4 linked regions of the Drosophila melanogaster genome follow. The protein of the gene in region 1 interacts with the protein of each later gene in a pairwise test. Each region holds a gene or a part of one and is shown on either strand. Other genes may lie near its edges. The genes, in order: Obp58d, CG13077, CG17036 and Eglp4.

Region 1 (5,666 bases):
CATTCATTTTAAGTATCTTTAAACATATTGCTGTAGCTGTGTATTTAGTTTCTGATTAAAATGTTATTTTTAAGGATGTTATCCCAATCGTACCAACTATCCTGGTGATATTCTCCATGTGTGACTGCTGCAGATTGGCGTACATATCCTCGGTGGATTCTATGTGAGCAATGAGGCGATGGATCACCTGGTCCTTGCGCTTAAGTGCCTCCTGAAAGAAAGACTCCACATCGACGATTTCGCGGCGCAGCTCCTGGATTTTCACCTGGCGCAAAATGCTCCGCCACTCCTGGTTGATTTTAGCCATATTGAGTCGACCAAAAGCATCCTCTCTTTTCAGTTTGTTCTATTTTAATGGGAAAAGTCATACCATAGGGATTTTGATTTTGATTTACTGCAAATTCGTGGTGTGTTACCTTCATGTACATGGAAATGAGCTGCATTTTCCGCCGCCTCGTCTCTTCCTCCATGTCGGCCCTCATTTGCAAATACCTGGCCCGCTCCTCCTCGGACATGTTGGCCAATTTGTTGCCTTTTCCTTTACCCTTTTTGCCCATGATTTAGTTTTTTTTTTTTACGGCTACCAAAAATCAGCTTATCAAATTTCAAAGGCCAATCTCTGACTAATTAGGCGAGCAAAGAGCCGCCTTGGAAAATAAATAATAAATTGACTGCCGGCGTTGCCATGACAAGATTCACTAGCCCACCCACTCCATATAATTTCGCTTTTCGTCGCCAGGTTTGTTGCCATAATAATGGATGCGAATTAAATTAATGCGAAACAGTGGAAAACGCCATTAGGGCTGTCCATCAAAGGGGAACCATTTGACATATAAAACTGAGGACGAACCGCTGGAAAGCTGTCATCATGCTGAGAATTGGTTTCGTGATTTGTGTGATTATATCACTGCGCTTGGTACGTACTCATAACACCGTTTTCAATTTGTTCTGGATTGGATAATGTTCGAGGGTGTTTTTAATGGATTATCCACACTAGATCGGATTTATTGTACATAATAATTTTGAAAGTTCAAGGTCCATCGGGGATCCGTATTCGAGCTACTTTTTAATCCTTTAATATGTGCATATTTCTATGCAGAATGGACTCGTGGCTGTCCGAGTTCATTGCCGGCACATGGAGCGTATTCACGAGGAGAACATCCACCATTGCTGCAAACATCAGGATGGCCACGACGATGTCACGGAATCTTGCGCCAAGCAGACCAACTTTCGTTTGCCCAGTCCCAATGAGGAGGCCATCGTGGATGTGACCGTGGACCAGGCGATGGTTGGAACCTGCTGGGCCAAGTGCGTCTTCGATCACTACAATCTGATGGAGAACAACACACTGGATATGGACAAGGTGCGCTCGTACTACAAGCGGTACCATCAAACAGATCCGGAGTACGCGACTGAAATGCTGAATGCCTACGAAAAATGTCACACACAATGTGAGCTCATGCAAAATAACCATCAACATAGTTTAAAATTGAATTTTTCCATTCCAAATTTTAGCTGAAGAGGCCACCGAAAAGTTCCTATCACTTCCAATTGTTAGGGCCTTCTCCACCGCCAAGTTCTGTAAGCCGACCTCGAGTATCATCATGTCCTGCGTCATCTACAACTTCTTCCACAATTGTCCAGCGAGTCGCTGGTCAAATACCACCGAGTGCGTGGAAACCTTGGCCTTTGCTAGGAAGTGCAAGGATGTGCTGACTACTATGTAAGCACTTTAGAGTCCTGCCTCAGGAAATACATTTTAATTGGGAAAACGAAATGATTTTCCAATGATTAAAGCAAAACAATGGCTCTCAATTCATGTGCTCTTTTGGTTTATAAGTAATGGTGGGTGATTGAATGCCAACTCAGCAATACATTTAATTAAATGGATTTATTGTTATCAAATCACTTGCAAAAATACGATATTAACTAATGTCAAGTTGATCGTATTTGTTTACCATTACATCCCTATAAAAAAAAAAACATCCAAATATACAGAATAATTCTGAATGCATAACATTTTTTCATCTAAACAAAATAATTCGAATGTCGTAAATCGTAAATTTAATGTTCTTTATTGCAGAAGAATGATATTCTCATTATTCACAAAGTAGCCAGCGAGTCCTGGCACTTCTTGCTGAAGGCCAGGGTATCCTCGCACTCCTTGGTCTTCGACCAGCGATCCGCCGGGCAGTTGTGGAAGAACTGGCGGATGACACAGGCCAGGACGACACTAGACTTCGGATCGCAGAATTGCTTGGACATTTGCTTGAAGAGGGGCTTCGACAGGAACATGGAGGTATTCTCTTCGCCTTTTGGTGAAAAAAATATCAGTTAGCCAAGAAGTTCTTGCTGAAATAACAACTCTGTACTTTTGCCGTGACAATGATCAAAGGCGTTGATCATTTCCTTGGCATATTCCGGATCGTCGGGAAACCTTTCAGTGAACAAACTTCTCACGGCATCCATGTCCAGGTTGTTGTCCTTCATCAGGTTCAGTTTGCTAAAGACGCATTTGCCAAAACAAGTGCCTCGGATGGCTCGGTCCGCCGTGATGTCCACCAGTGCCTCCTCGTTTTGATTGGGCAGCGTAAAATTGGTCTCCCTGGCACATCCTTCGATTAGATCATTGTGTCCATCGGGATGCTTGCAGCAATAGTGGATGTGGTCCTCGTTAATGGCCTCCGTATTCTCGCAATCAATTTTAATTCCACCAGCAAACTAAGTCATGTATTTGAATATATATAAACAGTGTGAATTTCATTCCTCGAACTCACCCAAATCAGGCTGAAAAAACTCAATAAAATGGTGCACTTCATTGCTCCGCCGTTTATACCAAAATCAGCCCACTACGACAGCTTATATAGTCACCCACATATCGTTTAAATAAAAACAGGAAACCGCTGCCAATTTGCCAAATGTCGAGCCATCAGACTGTCTGCAAATGTTTCTTTATCCGCTCATTTAATTCCAGTCATTACAATGGACATTTGTTACATTTAATTAAGCAATCCAATTTGGGTTTAAATTCATTTATCCAAAATGATGAGCACGCATGGTTTTATAAATGTTATGACCATGGTAAATTAATCACATTCGAAAAGCAATGGTCAACATTGTTTGTTATTGGACGTTCCTAATTCTGGTGGCCGTTTCAAAGGCTCAGGATAATGAGGAAACTACTGCAGTTGCCATATCTTCAGGTGACTTGACTGAGGATAAGTGTAACACATCGGTGAGCTTACTTTAAAACCGAACAGCAAACGTATTAAGTCTAAAAATTCAATTTAGAGGGCTGGCTGCTGTTCTGAACTTTATATAGGAGAAGAGGAGGACCTGGTCAAGTGCTTCGTTATACACTCACCCAAGTTGCCAGTGGATGGGGACGCTGACATCGGCAAGACACTGAGGTTTCTATCGGTAGGTAATTAAAGCTTTATATATCTATTATAACGAAAATATTTGTATCTTCAGTGCTTTGTGGAGTGCCTGTACAAGCAAAAGAAGTACATTGGTAAGAGCGACACCATCAACATGAAGATGGTCAAGCTGGATGCAGAAAAGACATTTGTGGATCGGCCCAAGGAGAAGGATTATCACATTGCCATGTTCGAGTTCTGTCGCAAGGATGCTGTTGGGGTCTACAACCTTTTAAAGGCCAGTCCTGGGGCTAAGGTGCTCCTGAAAGGAGCCTGTCGCCCCTATCTATTGATGGTATTCATGTGCATCAGTGACTATCATCAGAAGCACGAGTGTCCCTACTTCCGGTGGGAGGGCACTGCCAAGGCAGGAACTAAGGATATGTGCGAAAATGCCAAAGCCGAATGCTACCAAATAGATGGAATTACACTGCCCACAAAGAGTCCTGCCTAAGAATACGTATTAAAAAAACTCAAAAATGTCATGTAATAAAATTAAGCTTATAAACGCAGTATGTTTTTTAGTTTTAATCACACACCACACACATAAATTATTCGCACTGATGAATCAGTTTCAGATTCGCTTGGCTCAAGCGGGAGACCAGGATGGGCTCAACAAGCTGATTCGATCGCCAGGTGTCAAGTGGTTCGGCAATATCCGTCCGAAATTTCGTGGCAAGGACTCCCTGTTCAATTCCTATCAGACCTACAGGATATTGGCTTTTTGCACTGAATCCTCCGCATTGGTGGCCTATGCCGAGTTCCGTAACTATCCCTCCATTGCCGCTTTGCCCACGGATTGCTGGTTGGAATGGTTGTCCACCAGATACTGGTACTGATACAAGGACTTAAAACGTTGAATATATCATCTATTTCCGATATATCCTTTAGCCTATCCATGTCCATTAGCTGGCTGAATGCGTTGTTTTTCAACTTTTGCGTCTACAAGAGCGATCAGTCCCCGGTTCTGGTTGAGATCATAAAGGATGTGCTCTACAGGGAGAGCAGGGTGTGGTTTCTGATCACTGTTAGGTGTCCGTATGTGCCACAACCCATCCACTTTGTGGAAACCTTCGATGATTTGGAAAAAATATCCCAGGTCTTTTACCCGCTGGAATATAGCATGGATAAGAATAACAACACACAGTCCCTGTACATTGTGGATAGGTTCGTAATTCTGCCGAGGATTACTTACCGGAAGGCACTGTAAGCTCTGTTCTTTGTGCTCCTTGTTCAAATTGTATACTATATCAGAAATAGCATTTGAAATTTTAAATTCAAATGCCTCTTAAAAAGCAGCAGACTACTAATCAGTTTGTCTGAAATCGATATCGCCTACTAAGATATTGTTAGATATTGTTAGGCATTTGAAGAAACTGTTTCAATAACATTCTTGTTTTGTTTTAAATATTTCCCATGAAGGGCCGAAGATAACGACGATATTATAGCAATGCAAGAGGTCGAGAACCCAGAAATGCGAGAGGAGCTGGGCGACTACTACATTGCCGAGGAGGTAATGGGACAGAATCCGAAGAGTATGCTTGTTGTGGCCGAAACAATCAATCAGTCGCAGGAGTCAGAAATGGCCATCTTTCTGTGGCTGTCCTCGGATATAGACATTATGTTCTATGTGCGCAACTACGAGATGGAACAATTTGGCAATCTGGTGAAGCCAGCGGATGGAAGGTCCTTCCACTACGAGACGATGACGGTGTCGTAAGTGATGGCTTTACGTGCGGAAAGAGTAATTCCTTACCGACTGTCCTGCAGATCGGTACAGCGAAGAGCGGAGGCTAGCATGTTCACCGCAGATGCCCTCGACGATCTGAATGCGGTGACGATTCTGGGAGGACTGCAAAAGGTTGACAGCGGTATGAGGTGTGATTATTTATTAATTTGTAAGGCAAATATCCACAATGATTTATATTTCTCAACAGCGTGGCCAGCCTGGGTAAGATGAAGGTCAGCTCCATTGGCGGCACAATTGTGGATACAAATGTGGCGAATGAAAATAAGTTCTACATGCGCGAATGTCTGTACTCCAAGTTCAAGTACATTCTTGAGAGTGAGTTGTACTGCGAATGCCGGATGCTCCGTTCATAACATGGGTTTATCTAGAACTCCACAGCACCGATTACTATCTGCGGCACGAACAAAGCGTGATTAATTTTATATATCCGGCCGGAACGGAGCCCGCAGGTCCGGCGGCCATGGCGGCGGCATCAAACGTTTTCCTTCTCAGGTGCA
Region 2 (6,139 bases), on another chromosome or scaffold:
GTGGTCATTGTCCACTTCGAAAGTCTGGCCAAGAATGAAAGCAAATGCATTCCCGTCGAGGCGTACATAACACATGAAGTGACCAATTTTAAGCCTTCCAGTTTAGTTATCTATGATAATTATGGCCGGAAGGCAACCGAATATTATCAATATTAAAATTGGAGCTCGACGACTTTAAAGGCACTTAAAGTTCCAGTCTTGAGTCCACAGCCTCGTAAATCAAGCCGTGTCATATTAATCAGGGCACCACGCTTCCAATAGCCCGCATTTTTATGGTACTACTCAAAGTCAAATCCAATATACCTTAATCACCTTCAATGTCAGATCGCCGATATGAAACCGCTGAGTCAGCAAAAAGTATTTGTAAACATTGCGCTAGCTAATTTGATCAAAATGAGTATGGTTTATCACAACCACAGTGCTTAAGGCGCGTGGATGGTTCAGAATCTATCTGTTTCGGTCTTAGTGACTTATTGACTGGCTAAGGTTCAACTTGCCTGCTCAGACATTTGGCCCAAAGACATCAACAATGTTTCTATATTTTCAAGTAGGTGGTAACTTTTATCTGGTACGTGCGATTTTGCATTCCGATAAGGCGCTGCTGACTTGCGATCCGACAGGAGGACTACATGAGTATTATGTATATTATCAATAAGTGGATCGCGAGTGGGCGAGCACTCGAGTGACGAGAGTCTAATTAATATTAATAACCCCTCTAAATTTAGACCCCGGCTCATGACGTTTTCGTGGAATGTTCAACGTGAGTGCGATCGCATATTCGAGCGCCCGTGAATGGTAATCCTGTTTTACTTCGGTGCCGAAAGCCCCGGCATCGATGCGTGAATGAATGGATGTCGATAAGGTCGATTAGATCTCCTCGCCGACGATACTGCGAACGTGTACATGCAGCCCCGACCACTCAATAATATTGTATAATCCTTTAAGTCAACTGCATTAGAATGGGGCACCCAAAATGTTTCGCTGATAACTCGATAGCAAACAAATTGTATGTCAGTCTAGTGAAAGTCACAAAGCCATTGTGAAGGCAATAAAAACCTCAGTTGCGCATAGTGGCTTGTAATAGCTAATGCACGGCGGATCGATAGTCGAAAAAGGTAGTTCACATAAGGAAGAATCCTTAAAAATCCTTTGAATTTTGAAACAAAAGGCTCTATTCATTTATTTATTGGAAAACGATTAATAAGAATCCTTAAAAAGGATATTTAAGCGATTCCTGGCAACTACAATAGGAATTTAAAGGTTGCATCTTTTCCTAGAATTTATATGAAACTAGGTTAAAAACATACAACTTTTGTGAAATTAAACTACAATAACAGTGTTTGTGAAATTAAAATTAAAATTTCCAATTTCTTGAAATTTCAATTACCAATTTCTTGAAATTGCAATTACAATTTCTGTGAAACAATTCTAAAGCAACGCCACAATGAGCGATGACAAAACAAAACCAACCTCAGTGCTCCAGCATATAGAATCGGCGCTATATGTGATCAACCAGCTGTGCATAGGATTCGTCACCATTTGGATCAGCTGGACCTGCTTGCGCCAGGACCTCTCGGGCATTCGCCTGCATGCCTGGCTGGTTACCTTCGGTTTTGTGTTCCTGATGGCCGAGGGAATGATGTGCTTCTACGACGGCAGTTGGCTAACTGTGCGTTACTCCCGGAATTACAAGACTGCCTTTCACGTGGTCCTTCAGATCCTTGGGGGAGGCATGGGCGTGGCCGGCTGTTTGATTCAACTAATACGTGACGATTGGTCAATCAGCGTCACGTTACATGCCCGCCTGGGTTTCGCCGCCTTCGTCCTGTGTCTGATCTCATTGCTGAGTGGACTGGTCGCCTTCCTGGCGAGATGCCTGAGCAGGACCATCTCACCCTTGGTCAACAAGACCTTCCATGTGGTCCTCAGCTTCACCGCCTTCGTGATCGCCATGATGGCGCAGTTTTACGGATACACACAGACTGGAATTTTCAGGGGACAAGGACAGGATTTCGTTGTCCTCATGCAGGTCGTCACTATGGTCCTAATGGTCCTAACCAGCATTGGCGCCATTAAGTCGCTCTACCAGAAGATTGGTAGCCTGGCCAGTTAGGAACGCCTGTCGATTATCCCTAATCCTGTATATCTATAGTGCACTTAAGCTAAGCTAGACTATTTGCTATTTATATATTAAACTAATGTTATCATAAGGATAAATCAAATGACTAAGAAAAAAATAAAAAATGACTACGACTTATTTACATTAAAATATATCGTTTTTTTGGGTTTTTCTCTAAGTTCCAAAAAAAGAATGTGTTTCACAATTTAACTAAAACAAACGACCGTGTTACTGTCAAAAAATAAAATATGTCAAGCAAGAATTGCTTTTATCAGTTAAATAAATATTAAATATTTGGTTTTCTTCTTGCAAAGAGAAGGGGGGCTTACGTAGCACCTTAAAGTATAAAAACGTAATTGCAAAAGATAACTACGCATACGCTCACTTGCAAAAGATAAATGTTATGGCACCCAAATAAGCAATTTAGGTATGCAACGTATTTTGAGGGGTTGGCAATCCGTCCAATTCTAAAGCTTTCTTTATGGGTTTTTTTATGGAATAAAAAAGAAACTCTCAATAAAAAGCAACGTACTTTTAGGAACCAACGCAGTACCAAATATTGCACATTGACTTAGATATATATAGATATTTTAGAGCTAAACGGCCATCACTGTTGCATTAAATTTTAGTTTAGTGTTGATAAGTGCAAATTGAAACGAATACCTATCGCAGCAAGACTTTGCGCGGCATCGCAAATTTGAAAATGGCATACGAGCGAAGGTCTAGTTGCGGTTTTGGCTGCACTTTGATAGCTTCCCGGAGCGTAAACCGATATGAATAGGAATGGCGAGTTAAATAATCTTGTGGTCAAGTCCAGTCAACTTGTAAATGACGCTGCAAGAATGGCTTCGCCAGTTGCTCATAAACATTCGACCAAATGGTTTGATTAACCAAGTTCATTGAGCGTATCGTATCGGTCGAATTCTAAAACTTTAATTGCTGTCGTAGCTTGAGCACACGACTGGTTTTGCCAATAATAAAAAATTTGCCGCAATTTGTCTGTGAAAAGTGGCAGGCATTATTATCAGTCGACAAATGTATGAATGTTAACACGAAAATAACATTATTCCAGCGCGCACTGATAAAGGCCGGCAAGCGAAAAACTGAAAACTGAAACTACACAATGTCCGAGAGTAAGCAGCCAGTGCTTAGTAGAACTCAGACATCCGCCGACTACGGCAGCACGCTCCGGACGGATACGCCACGCCGACCCACATTTATTCCGATCGAATCCCCGCGTCGCTATTCGAAAATGGCCCACGGTTCCCTGTCCGGCCACGAGGCCGAGAATCGCCTCCAGAGACTGGAGTACTTCCTTAACGTTCTCAACCAGATGTGCATTGGATTTATCACCATCTATATTTCCTATCTCACGCTGCGAACGGGGCTCTCGGGCACGGGTCTGCATGCCTGGCTAGTGACCATCGGGGTAAATAGTTGGGGGATCACCATCACCGTCTAAGCGGGCACTGAAGATCTTCATTCCACACCACAGTTCTCCTTCTTCATGGCCGAGGGCGTCATGATCCACTACGGCGGCAATGTGCTGACAAATGGATACAAGCGCCAGACGAAGACCACCATTCACTGGGTGCTCCTGACTTTGGGAGGCGGTTGCGGGGCAGCTGGTGCTCTTATCAAGATGATTCAAAAGGGGTTTTTGCTGCAATCGACACATGGGAGGCTGGGTGAGTAGAGTACAGACACGCACAATGCCTATTAAATAGCAGCAGATGTCTAATACATTAGAATAAAACAGTGGAATAGAATAGTTCCAAGGATCCATTTCTTGGTGCTTCCCAGTCTAAGCTAGTACTTAATTTGTTATTTGTTGAACAAACGCCCCCATTTTCCATATTTACTTTAGTTTTATCGCTTTCTTACTATCTTTTTAGTAGTACATTTAATGATCACCTAACAGGCAACAAAAATCCTAAAAGGCACTCACTAATAGATTCCCTTCTCGCCAACAGGGATGACCGCCTTCGTACTGTGCATTCTGGCCATGTCCTCGGGACTGGCTGCACTTTTCTCCAGCCGCATCAAGAAGCTAATCACACCATTGCTGAACAAGACGTTCCACAACTTCCTGGGATTCGCGTGCTTTGTGATCGCACTGGTGACCCAGTACTATGGCTACCAGACGGGCTACTTTAAGAGCCGAAGTGAGACGGATTTCCAAATCCTGATGAAGTGCCTCACCCTCATATCGTTGGTCCTGTCGAGCTACGGACCGATGAAGGCACTCTATCAGAAATGCAAAAATATATCGCAACAGTTTTAGATAGGATGAAAAGAATCACTCGAATGTATGTAGATAAATAAATGTAATTTTTTCTAAAACCCCATTTTATCGACCTATCCAACTATACCAACAACGATTCAAAATTTTATACCTGTTTATTGGTACAACGTGTGATCCATAAACATGACTAAGTATTTTTACAATGCCTCATTAGGGAAAACCCGGTTAACCAGCGGTCAGACTTTCATCGTCCGGTACTCCCCCCTGTAAAAGTTATATAACCACCCTTTTGATTGATTTGATTTGATAAGGTCTGAAAAAGTAATGAATTGACTATTAGATACACTGCAATTTGCATTTAAGTTTAACCGCTCACTCAAAAAGCCAGCATTTGAATTAATCAATCAAAATTATGATCATTTATAATTTAAGTTATACTATTATTCATTTTCCTATAACAGCATTGGGTAGCATGCATCATTTTAAAATCCAAAACATGACCGGGTTTTTTATCTGATCGGTTTGTGACACTTGGAGGCCGCATAATTGATAGTAACTGTCCCAAATAAGTCCAAACTTTTGAAGCCCCGTAAAAAGAAGATCTTGACTTCCGGCACCTTAAATTAAAAAACCGTGTATTTTGCATGGTGCAGTTTCGTATGTTTATTTAGAAAATCCATATCATTTCTTCTTAAATCTCTCGCAATAAATAATACTTGGCGCGTGTGTCGCGTTGTGTGTGTGATACGTATATCAGTTAGCAGTAATAATAAATAGCTAGCGTTAGGTATTAAAATTCATAGTCAATTGGGTAATACAAGGCTGTCTGGCTTTAAAACCCCCTTTCTGGGTAACTTTTGGTAAGAGAAAGTCAAGATCTCTATATAGAATCGGGTGAACAGATCTTTAGCATGCGGTAGGTAAATAGGAGTTATCAGCTATCGACTAAAGCCCAGTTAAGAATTGTGTGTTGGGCAAGGCATATTCGAAATTCGACTTTCTATATCTTTTCATAGTTTCCATAGTTCGCTCCGCTCACAGCTTGTTGCTGCGTCGAATGGCGAAGGACATTAGCGCGTGCTCCAGCCGCATGTGGTAGGGTAGCTTGCGCTCCAGAATGACTGGCTCCTGGCCATCTGGACAGCACCGGTTGCGGCAGCACTCGCACTGGCCGTCGTCATCGTCGTATTCCTGCTGCAGTTCCTGCTCCAGTTCGTAGGCCTTCTTGGCAGCCCGCTGCTCGAAGCGCAAATAGAAGGCCAGGCAGACAAACAGCATAAATACCAGGGCACACATGGCTCCACTGGCAATGCTCGCCTTCTCCAACATCGGACGCGGCCTCTTGGGCAGGTAAGTATTGTCGATCTCCTTGTATTCGCATCGCTGTCCCATAAAGCCAATCGCGCACTCGCAGCTGTAAACCGGTAGATCGGCTATCTTCACCGCAAAGCAATGGGCATCGTTCAAACAGTACCAGGCATCGAAGGTTTCCGGACATTTGTATGTGGGGAATGTAATATTGGGCCTGGGCGTGGTCGTCGTGGTGGTGCGCATTGTGGTGCTACTAGTGACTGGAGCCTGGGTCGGCGGCAATGCCGTGCCGGACATGGACGAGGAGATCGAAGAGCGCGGCTTGGGCACCGTACGGCTGGAGCAGGCCTCGACGTGCCACGGATGTGCCAGACAGCCGATCAGTACCAGGGCAACCAGCCCATGTTGTACACTCATTGTGGAATGCATTACAATTTGTAGCTTTTTAGCGTAGCGTATCGGCT
Region 3 (4,455 bases), on another chromosome or scaffold:
GAGTTGGGTGCACCCAGCTCTCAGGCAAGGCTGGAAATTGTACGATGCCTCATCAAGTCAGTGGAGCATCAGTTGAGCGATGAGGAAGTGGAGCACGTTGCATCTATTACCCATGGCTACGTGGGAGCAGACTTAGCAAATCTCGTTTACGCTGCCATGCTGCAGGCGCAACCGAATCCTCTACAGATGCCGCATCTACAGGCGGCTTTGACCCGCATTAAACCATCGGCGATGCGTGAAGTTCTCATCGAGTGTCCCAATGTGCAGTGGTCCGACATTGGCGGTCAATCCGAGCTACGTTTGGCCATGCAGCAGGCCATCGAGTGGCCACTGCTGCACGCGGATAAGTTCCAACGCCTGGGTATCAAGCCACCCAGGGGTATCCTCATGTTTGGACCGCCAGGCTGCTCGAAAACCATGATTGCCAAGGCCCTGGCCACCGAGAGCAAGCTTAATTTTCTGTCCATCAAGGGACCAGAGCTCTTTTCCATGTGGGTGGGCGAATCGGAGCGAGCGGTGCGTGAGGTCTTTCGAAAGGCTCGCCAGGTGGCACCCGCCATAGTTTTCTTCGACGAAATCGACGCCATCGGTGGCGAGCGTTCGGAGGGCGACGGATCCAGCTCTGGTTCGTCCGTAAAAGAGCGCGTCCTCACGCAACTGCTCACCGAACTGGATGGCGTGGAGGCACTGCAAAATGTCACCATAGTCGCTGCCACCAATCGTCCAGATATGATCGACAAGGCACTGCTTCGTCCAGGCCGAATTGATCGAATTCTCTACGTGGGACTACCGCAATGTGAAGCACGTAGAGAGATCTTAAAGATCAAACTGCGTGCCATGCCGATATCAAACGATGTGGACATGGAGAAGTTGGTGCAGCTGACGGAGGGATATTCCGGTGCAGAAATACAAGCCGTATGCCATGAGGCTGCCCTGAGAGCCCTGGAGCAAAGCTTCGAAGCGGAGGATGTCAAGTGGACGGACTTCGAGCACGCCTTGAAGGCGGTGCCTCCGCGGACTTCTCCAGAGTTGTTGAAACTCTACGAAGATTACCTCAAACGGAAGTAGATTAAACAACTCAGGGGAACCTTGACTTTAGAACTATTTTAAGATTAATTGTGAAGAATCCGCAAAACAGTGACGATAAGATTACCGAAAGCAAATCTGCTTAATTTGTTTAAACAAATTACCATGTTATTAGCTCTCCAAAATCTGTTCACTCGATCAGCCTTCAAATCGGAGTTATGTATGTAGTTATGTAAGTTATGTAAAGTAGAACCGATTAGAGGGTCGACTTTGGTGTTTAGACAGTTCTGAAATTCATATTTAGTGCCTGCAGATTAGACTACAAAGATAAGATGGCTATAGCAGAACTATCGGTGATAACTTGAATGCTCTATTTTTAACCTCTAAATTCAAAGAGTATCATTCTCTCGATTGTGAATATCAAGAGCAAACGTTGAGCTTTCAACAAATTTCCAATTAATGCGTCACTTAATTGTCAATAAATTGATGGGGAACAATCCAAGAATCTTAATTTTTGTTGCTGTGCGATAAATTTGCTTACTCGACAATTACCGAAATAAAACTTATTTAAAATTTACAACTTTCACTGCTCCGTGATCTGTAACCAAATCTATAAATTTGTCAAGTTGTAATTATAGAAATTCTCCAAATTAATTGAATGTAGATAAATGTATATTTCACGGTCTTTTGAGGTCATACTCGTACAGTAGCGGCCATAAATATATGAAGTGTTCAATTTTGTGAATAACACCAAAATCAATATTAAGTTATGTTTTTTAGTGGCCCTAGCATTAACAGTTAACGGTCATTGAACTTGGGCGCATGATTTAAACATTTGTATGTATGTGTGTAAATATATTAAACAATATACGAATTTTATGGCCCAACAGTAGCTTAAATTAATTGTTTTACGAATTTGCAGTGCTTTGGATATAAGTTCATATGTGCATATCTTTTCCAACAACTTTTGAAATATTGAATGTAAAATATATTTTATATAGCGTTTTTCTTCTAAAAATAATACTATTTGTTGATAGTTTATTTTTTAAGTATATTAAATATATATTTTTTTGTGATAATATAGTTGATTGTATAGTTGTAGTAATCGTTGGAAATAATTTTATATGCCTGTCATATTGAATGTTGCTGTTTTCTTATGATTTTTTTTGAACCCCTTAAAATTCACCTGATTCTGGTTTTCCGGTTGTTGTGGGTGAATACTGCTGGCCACCACTGTAGCCGCTTTGGCGGAGAGCGATGGGCTACCAGGCGCTCTTGATTCGCGCGATCAGTTGCCGGCTGGCGTTCGTCGCGTTGGTTACGACACTTATCAATTGGCGAAACAACTGGCGCCGGATTGGAGCTTGGAGTTTCGAGTCTCCATGCGAACAGCCCACCTGGTATCGCAATTTACGACATGAAGAGCTGGCTGAAGATCTCGCTGCTGCTGTGCACGTTTGGCTTTTTCCGGGAGTTTCGACCTTCGGAGCCGTACGTCACAGAGTACCTAGCCTCGGATTATGGCAACCTGACGACGGATCAAATCTATCAGGATGTGTATCCCTTCGGCACGTACTCGGTGCTGGCCCAGCTGGTAATTGTGTTCCTCATCACAGATCTGGTGAGGTACAAACCGGTTATCGTGCTATCGGCACTGGCTGGCATTACCCTGTTCTCCATGCTTATCTGGACGGAAACCGTGGGAATGCTGCAGGTGGCCCAAGTGTTTTTTGGCACCTTTACGGCCGCTGAGGTGGCCTACTACACGTACATGTACGCCAAGGTCAACAAGGAGCAGTATCAGGTAGTCACGGGCCACACGCGAGCTGCCATCTTGAGCGGCAAGTTCCTCGGCGGCCTGTTTGCCCAGATTTTGGTGTCCACCGATAGCATGGATTACCGGCAGCTGCACTACCTCTCGCTGGCCACGCAGCTAATCTCCCTGGCCGTGTCCCTGTTCCTGCCCAGTGTGCCGCGTAGCCTCTACTTCTACGCGGGTTCCGAGAAGATTACCATTGCCGACGGAGAAGAGACCTCACCAAAGTTCTCCTTTGCCAACGCATGCCGCCTGCTGTGGTACCACCTCGTTAGTTCCTACTCCAATCCCGTCGTGCTGCAGTGGAGCATATGGTGGGCATTGGCCACCTGTGGTCAAGTTCAAGTAAGTTGGCCGTTTATTGCAAGAAGTTAAGTGTGTAATAAACTAATTATGTTAAATCCTCTAGGTGATCTCCTACATCCAGTTCCTGTGGAAAGAGGTGGCACCGAATAAGCTCAGTGTTTACAATGGCGGAGTGGAGGCCGTGGCCACGCTGCTGGGTGCTATTGGAGCCATTCTGGCGGGCCTGCTGAACTCCAATAAGCGACGGGGATCGTATATGATGGGCATATCCATCTGTGCCGCTGCCCTGGGCGCTCTGCTCATCTATGCCGCCAAGACGCAGTTGATCTGGGTGGCCTACGTGAACTATGTGCTTTTCTGCACCGTATTCTTCTTCATCATCACGGTGGCGGGTGCCGTGGTGGCCGAGAATCTGGTGGAGGACAGTTTCGGCTTGATCTTCGGTATCAATACGTTGGTGGGTCTGATCCTGCAGACTATTCTGACCGTTGCGGTTGTGGAGCGAGTTGGATTCGCTCTGGAGCCGCGGGATCAGTACGTGGTTTACGGTAGCTACTTTGTGGTCTTGGGTGGAATATCCATAATTGGGTCTATCTGCGTGAAACTGTTTTGCAGGACTAACAAGTCGAGTGTGGAAAATGTGGTTTCTTTAACATAAGATAATATAGGATTTTACACAAATCAAAACAGGACGAAATGTGCAAGTTTGTAAATACAGGACTTCTTATTTACTATCTTATTTATTCAAACAACATAGTATATAAGAAATTCCATCAATTAAACAAACTAGTACAAAGGTAAAAAGTTAAATCAGTTGTTGAGCAAAGAATTTGCTTTCCATAAAGTTAAACTTTACAGAAATAAAACATAAATGAAAGTCTAAGCTACTATTAAATTGAAAGGCTTTTAATATTTTTTGATATCTACACCAAATACTGAAACATTTAATATTTATCTAACACATTACTTAATATTTGTACTAAGTAGCCTATTGCAGTAGCAGGTCCATCTCCTCCGCATTCGAGGACATGAGATCGCGCTCCAAACTGGTGGTGGCTGCAGTCGCCTGGTTCAAGAACAAGTCGAAATCGTAGCCATCATTTTGGGCAGCAATGGAGTCCTTTTGGTTGCTAATGGTCTGCGGATTGGAGAGCAGATCCACATCGTACAGGCCCAGCTCCTTGAGCAACGTTTCGTTCTCGCTGGCGGATTGTAAGGTGGACGAATCAACGGACGCCTTGGCCGCTTCCACATTTATAATTGCCGCCGGCTGTTCGACAGCCTCGAAACCGCAATCGACTTGCGAA
Region 4 (6,006 bases), 900 kb from region 1:
CTCGGCTGCTAGAGCACCTGACATTTTCGAGCCGTGTGCGTGGATCTTGCCGTATTGTTGACCACGTCTTAATTGCCCCCCGTATTTACAGCCGTAAATAAAAGGGGGCAGCACTGCGAGGTGGCGATGCCAACAACCTGTTGCGCAACCCAAAACGTCAGCAGTTTCCATTGCCCTGATAAGCCGCACAGATAAGAAGCAGAACCTTGGGGCTAGGAAGAGGCTGCCATGGATCTTGGTCAATGGGCACTAAGGCTTCCGCCTGTGGCACCATAATGAGCTTCAATTACGATCCAGCTGGCAATTGGAATGCCATAAAGGGGTATACGTTGTTGTTGTTGCACATCAATAAGTCGGCAACCGATCACTATCGCACTTTGGAAGAGCCGTAAATGCGGGGCGATGTCAAAAGTCTGACGAGTAAATCCGATTTGAGTTGGCCCAATTATGGCCAAATTAAGCCTGTGATATTGCGCCGCCAGACACCGCCAATCCCAATACACCATCACCACTCACTCAGCTCGATATCGGTTATCAGTGCGAGTGACAGTGGTTGCGGCGTATGGTTTATGGCCAACATTTTAGGGCCACTAGCAAAAATCACTTCTTAAGCAGCTACAGCCACAGCTATCAGCAAACAGCGGGTGAGGCTTATCGGCACGGATTGATTAGCTGTTCTTCAGGCTAACAAGTTTTTTACGACGAGCTTCTGGCCGAAGGCTTATCACTCTATTACCAACTTAGTCATAATTAGCTAATAATAATGCCGCGTGATAAGGAAGCTCATCGAAAAGCTCGCCGAAAGCTAACGATCGAAGCTTCGTTAAAGTTGCGCATCCTAGCAGCTGAGCTTTTGAGAAGCTCCGAGGAGTCGCCCGTTCTTATCGCACCGCTCTGTTAATTAACAGTCCCCACTTCCGTTAACATCAGCGATTAGCACTCCCCAAAATATGAACGTAGAAACGCCCAGTCACGTCCCATCACTTAGACAAACGCTGAGAATGGATCATAATAATTAAGATCCATCATCCCAAACGGGGTTTGTTGTCAATTAGGCCCTCGGGCCATTGAAAATCGTGGCCCATGCAGCGATCCCATGGATGATACGTGATCCTTCTGGGCATGGAAAATATGATAAAGGTGCAGGTGGTAATTAAATTATTATTATTATTATTGTGCTGCCGATCGGATGGTGTGTTTGATTTATTTTTAAACTTTCGATCCATCGCGTGTTTACTGCTTTGCCTTTAATCTCTTTGTCTCTTGCCAAAACGTGTCGCTCTCTTTTGACCAACCAACTGTCAATGAGTTGGCCAAACACAAACATTTGCCGTTGGCCAAGGGCCAAAACGCAAATGAACCAGCAGTGCTATTTTCTCCACCGTTTTCTGTGGCAATGCCAATGTGTGTTATGGCGAGAAAGCAATGGAAAACATTAGGCGTGGTCAGTGAGGGTCAAAAGTTCTGATCACCTGAGCCACTGTGTGTACTGGGTGTGTGTGCAACAGCAGGGCTTTTGAAAATATTTGCTTTAAATTGTTATTATTTATTGACGATCCAATTGTTATTGAGACACATAACTACGCAAATTGCGTGCAATTTGATCGACAGGCGTGCCGAGATTTGCCGTGATTTGTTTGCCACATTGCGTGGTAGCCCGATTCACGCAACGCATCCTCAATTGCAGCAATTGCAATTGATAGGAATCGAAGCGACGGTGGTAATTGATAGTGTGCCACTCTGCTGTTATCAATACGCAATATGCCGCCTGCTTCAATTGCGAGCGCGTCACGCACTTGCACAGCATAACAGTGTTATGCCCACCGCCCACCGACCAACTACACTGAAAATAATTATGGGGATTTTCGCTATCAATTACAGTTTAGTGCTAAGTTTGAATGACACGCAATGAAAATGTCGTATTTTAGGAACTATGGTTACTACTAATTCTAGCAATCATTGCTTAGCAGATTTGCCTTTCTCATGGCAAACAAATAGTAAGAAACAAGTTAAATGAAAATGATAATTTACTTAAAAAACAAATGTAAGGACCACCTTTAATATTATAATTCTCATAAAATGCTGTGAATAAGTCGAATGAATTCGATAGAGCAAAACCAGTATGTCAGTTGCACACCAAGTGTTAATATCTAACCTTGTTTCCATGGAATATCATCCGTATTGTTTCTACCATTTTATAATGATTTAAGCCAGGTGACTGGTAAAGGAAGAGTGGGAGCGAGAAGGAGCATCGCTCCAGAGATAATCGCAAAAGCGAACGAGAGCAGCGAATGAGCGTTTAAGATGCTCATAAATTCTGGACACTTGACTTTTTTATGCTCACCAGTAGGATTCGCTAATTTCCACGCCTTTGTGTGTGTGTGTGTGTGTGTGTGCTTGTGGTCGGTCCCCTTCATATGTGTGTGTGTGTATCTGTGTGTGTTGCTGCTCTCTCACAGGGGCTAAAAATGGGCTTTTGATTTACGCAATATTATATAGACACAGATATAAATATTTGCCTATGGCTACTCCACCGCCTCAGATTGACATTGACAGTCGCGCTGCCGCTTTGTGAATTTTCACCAGCTACGGAAAAGATTGATTATATAGTGCGATCTCAAAGAATTGGACAAGTGTCAAAATGAGCCACGAGATTCGGTAATTATCTGGCACTCGAAACCAAAGAAATTCAAAAAACAAAAAACAAGAGTTCTGGCTACCAGAAAGAGGGATTTACCAATCACAATAAACGGATTAATTCGCAACGTAGTGAACTCCAATTGACTCGAGTGGCGCTCAGGCGATAAGGTTGAAAAAGATTGGTTATTGTTTTATGGCCATGTCGTGATTTGATTCGCATTTTTTCGGCCATTTATCTATAAACCCAATTGACAGCCGAACGGCAATCACAAGTCTACTATATTTAGTACACGGCTACTTCATGTCAGTCCAGCCATCGATGGCATTCCCGCAGCAGGCATCGTTTGTCGGATCAGCAGCATAAGTTGTGCTTCCAAAAAAGGGTGTTTGGAAAATCGATGCCAAGTCAATGAACCTCGAGCAGCAGGGGATGGATCCGCAAGGGGTGGAAAACCAGCAGGAAATCGTCCAGGCAGCCGAAGGAGAACAGCAGTTGCAAAGGTCTAGAAGCTTGACAAACTAACTACAAAGTTGCACAATAGTTGAGATTGTAGAAGTGTGTCGCGGGGATTAGGTGCAAATCGAGGAGGGCTTTGCGAAACGATAGGATGGTCTTAGATAGGATATGATTGATGAAGTTCCTAAGCAGGTCTACTTAGAGTCGAGAAAGAGATGGACGATGGCGTGCGACAGAGAGGGTAGCTCGCTTTTTAGTGTGGCATTATTCAAGCGCTTCTCTGACCATTTCAGTTGCTGTAAGGTCTTCAAAATGAAGGGATCGACGCTGGACAAAATCTCCGCCTTCCTCGGCGAGCTCATCGGCACCGGCATCCTGGTCTTCCTGGGCTGCATGGGTTGCGTGAAGACGGACCTCTTTCCCAACAACCATCTGCAGATTGTGCTGAACTTCGGCTTCGCCGTCCTCATCGCCATCCAGTGCTTTGGCTGCGTCTCCGGTGCCCATCTGAATCCCGCCGTGACCGTGGCCGCCTACATCTACGAGATGGTCACCCTGCGCATGGCATTTGCCTACTTCGCCGCCCAGATGCTGGGCGCCTTCATCGGCTACGGCCTGCTCATGGTCCTGCTTCCCTCGCCCACACTTACGGTGGGCGCTGGGCTCTGCGTGACCTTGCCCCACACCAGCGTAACCACGGGCCAGGCCCTCGGCATCGAGTTCGTAATCACCTCCATCCTGGTCATCGTCTGCTGCGGAGTGTGGGATCCGCGCAACTCCAAGTTCCATGACTCCGTGGGCATTCGATTTGGCCTGGCCATCGCCTGTCTCGCCTGCGCTGCCGTAAGTTAAAGCGAACAGTTGGCTAATCCTTACCTGCCTCGAAACGGATTATTAACCTCGTTCCCTACCATTGGTTTTAGGGTCCCTTCACCGGCGGCAGCATGAACCCGGCCAGGTCGTTCGCCCCCGCCCTGTGGAACAAGCACTTCGAGAGCAACTGGATCTACTGGCTGGCCCCGCTGAGCTCCTCCGCCATCACCGCCTACGCCTACAAGGTCGTCTTCCGCCGCGAGGTGGTTGAGGCGGAGATCACCTCCAATGAGAAGCTGCGGCAACTGGAGGACGTCCAGCTGTCGTAAGGCCAAAGACATTGCTGTAGGAAAAGCCCTAACTAATTTAGTTAATATCTAAGATGCCGAATTTTAAAATAATGCATTCGTTGTACGCTAATGTTAGCAGTGTCTTCACAAAGTGGCTCGAACGTTTCAAAAGGCGAACCAAGTGCACACACTTACATAAGCCCTTGAAACGATAAACGTCTTGGTGAAAACACTAATTGCCTTCAGAAATAAAGAACATCGAGATTTTTAATCTAAAACCAAAACAAAACAAGTAAATTATTTTTATGGTTTTAAGAAATTCTACACAAGATATTGGTAGTTATTTGATACCTGAAGTTCTGCTCTTCTGGGCCATCTTAAAACATGTTGAGTCCATATTATCTAAAAGCTTTTCATTCTTCAATAACGAGGTATTTGCTTTGATTAGCTCTAAGTAACTTCCGGGCTTAAAAATACCAATAAGCTTTTTCCAGGAATCGAAAGTGAAAAAAGCCCATCAGCTTAAGCGGTCTTTGGAAAATCTGTTCATAAGATATTCGAATATCTTAGTACCTCCAAATCGACCAATCAAATGGTGGCTAAAAAACGTTATCAGCAGGCTGCGAATGAGACGCGCGTATCAGCCAAATAAAGCCAAAATATACCAACAATATGCAGTTATTGTACGTTACGTACTCCATTCGGGTCTATAGTCCGTATACGAAGCACAAATGATATATGTGGTTCTATGTGGTTTAAAGGGGACTATGTGCTATGGGTGATATGCTAATGCTGGATTTGCATCACTCTTCTGGAATTTCTGGAAATCACGGGGTGATTCCTTCGAGTAGCTTTCGAACACCATAGGCCAGGTTTATTGGCCTTGTTGTAGCGATTCAGACACTGGCTGGCACACAAGAAGTACGAGTATTGGCCAGGTCTCGGCGACCCCGTTCGCCGTTCGATAAAGATCTTAATGAGATAAGATTGAGCACAAATCGGGCGAAATGGCAGTGGCGCTTATCAGGCCGATAATTACGGCTGAGCAAAGCCCCCCGAAAATCGCCTTGATGGATTGATCCATCCTGAATGGGTGGGCGGGAGCTGCTCCCAAATCTGCGCTCGATAATTAGCATTAAGGTTTTATAATGGATTTTGATTGATTGCCGTAAATTTTGCTGGCACGTTGGGTCACTTGGGCAGCCGCCCAAAATTGCGGCAGTAGAGTTCCGTCAGCATGTCGCAACAGAAGCAAAAATCGCAGGAGTCCAATCCGAACGCCAGGTGGCGCCTGGAAGGACACCAAAGGAGTGCGATAGCCTGCTTCTTCGGTGAACTGGCGGCGACTGCCGTCTTCGTTTTCATAGCCTGCATGGGCTGTGTGGAAACGCCGCTGTTCCAGAATTCGCACTTTCGCAGTGGCCTCACCTTCGGCCTGGCCATTCTCATCGCCATCCAGTGCTTCGGCTCCGTTTCCGGTGCCCACTTAAATCCGGCCATCACCCTGGCTGCCTGGCTCTACGGCGCAATCGGTTGGATCCGGGCCATTGCTTACTTTGTGGCCCAGGCTGCCGGAGCCCTGATAGGCTATGGTCTCCTGGTGGCTGTTCTGCCTGGGAACTCCATCAAGGGTGTGGACAACCCGTCGGGTGTTTGTGTGACAATTCTGGCCCCCGGAATCAGCGTACTTCAGGGGGTCTTCATCGAGTTCCTCATTACCTGCTGCCTGGTCATGGTGGCCTGTTCGGTGTGGGATCCACGGAACGCCAAGCTGCAGGATTCGGTGCCCGTGAGATTCGGTCTCAC

Evidence for each region.
Region 2: the proteins of Obp58d (region 1) and CG13077 interact in a two-hybrid assay, tested with the Drosophila melanogaster proteins (one large-scale study listed by BioGRID).
Region 3: the proteins of Obp58d (region 1) and CG17036 interact in a two-hybrid assay, tested with the Drosophila melanogaster proteins (one large-scale study listed by BioGRID).
Region 4: the proteins of Obp58d (region 1) and Eglp4 interact in a two-hybrid assay, tested with the Drosophila melanogaster proteins (one large-scale study listed by BioGRID).

The regions. Positions count from the first base shown.
Region 1 is NT_033778.4:22,703,842-22,709,507, forward strand, and holds Obp58d (Odorant-binding protein 58d), read left to right. Parts: upstream 1-3,092; 5' UTR 3,093-3,106; coding exon 3,107-3,235; intron 3,236-3,291; coding exon 3,292-3,420; intron 3,421-3,474; coding exon 3,475-3,873; 3' UTR 3,874-3,931; downstream 3,932-5,666. Other genes in the region: CG30259 (uncharacterized protein), read right to left, coding at 94-346, 417-557; Obp58b (Odorant-binding protein 58b), read left to right, coding at 869-916, 1,100-1,451, 1,516-1,727; Obp58c (Odorant-binding protein 58c), read right to left, coding at 2,104-2,312, 2,373-2,721, 2,778-2,819; CG30275 (uncharacterized protein), read left to right, coding at 3,983-4,251, 4,311-4,625, 4,842-5,135, 5,190-5,297, 5,357-5,484, 5,538-5,666.
Region 2 is NT_033779.5:19,562,894-19,569,032, forward strand, and holds CG13077 (uncharacterized protein), read left to right. Parts: upstream 1-2,969; 5' UTR 2,970-3,242; coding exon 3,243-3,548; intron 3,549-3,614; coding exon 3,615-3,807; intron 3,808-4,092; coding exon 4,093-4,403; 3' UTR 4,404-4,466; downstream 4,467-6,139. Other genes in the region: CG13078 (uncharacterized protein), read left to right, coding at 1,445-2,113; spi (spitz), read right to left, coding at 5,400-6,104.
Region 3 is NT_033779.5:12,698,503-12,702,957, reverse strand, and holds CG17036 (uncharacterized protein), read left to right. Parts: upstream 1-2,211; 5' UTR 2,212-2,443; coding exon 2,444-3,187; intron 3,188-3,251; coding exon 3,252-3,806; 3' UTR 3,807-3,955; downstream 3,956-4,455. Other genes in the region: CG5776 (uncharacterized protein), read left to right, coding at 1-1,068; PICK1 (protein interacting with C kinase 1), read right to left, coding at 4,137-4,455.
Region 4 is NT_033778.4:23,606,066-23,612,071, reverse strand, and holds Eglp4 (entomoglyceroporin 4), read left to right. Parts: upstream 1-3,141; 5' UTR 3,142-3,265; coding exon 3,266-3,940; intron 3,941-4,020; coding exon 4,021-4,239; 3' UTR 4,240-4,480; downstream 4,481-6,006. Other genes in the region: Eglp3 (entomoglyceroporin 3), read left to right, coding at 5,438-6,006.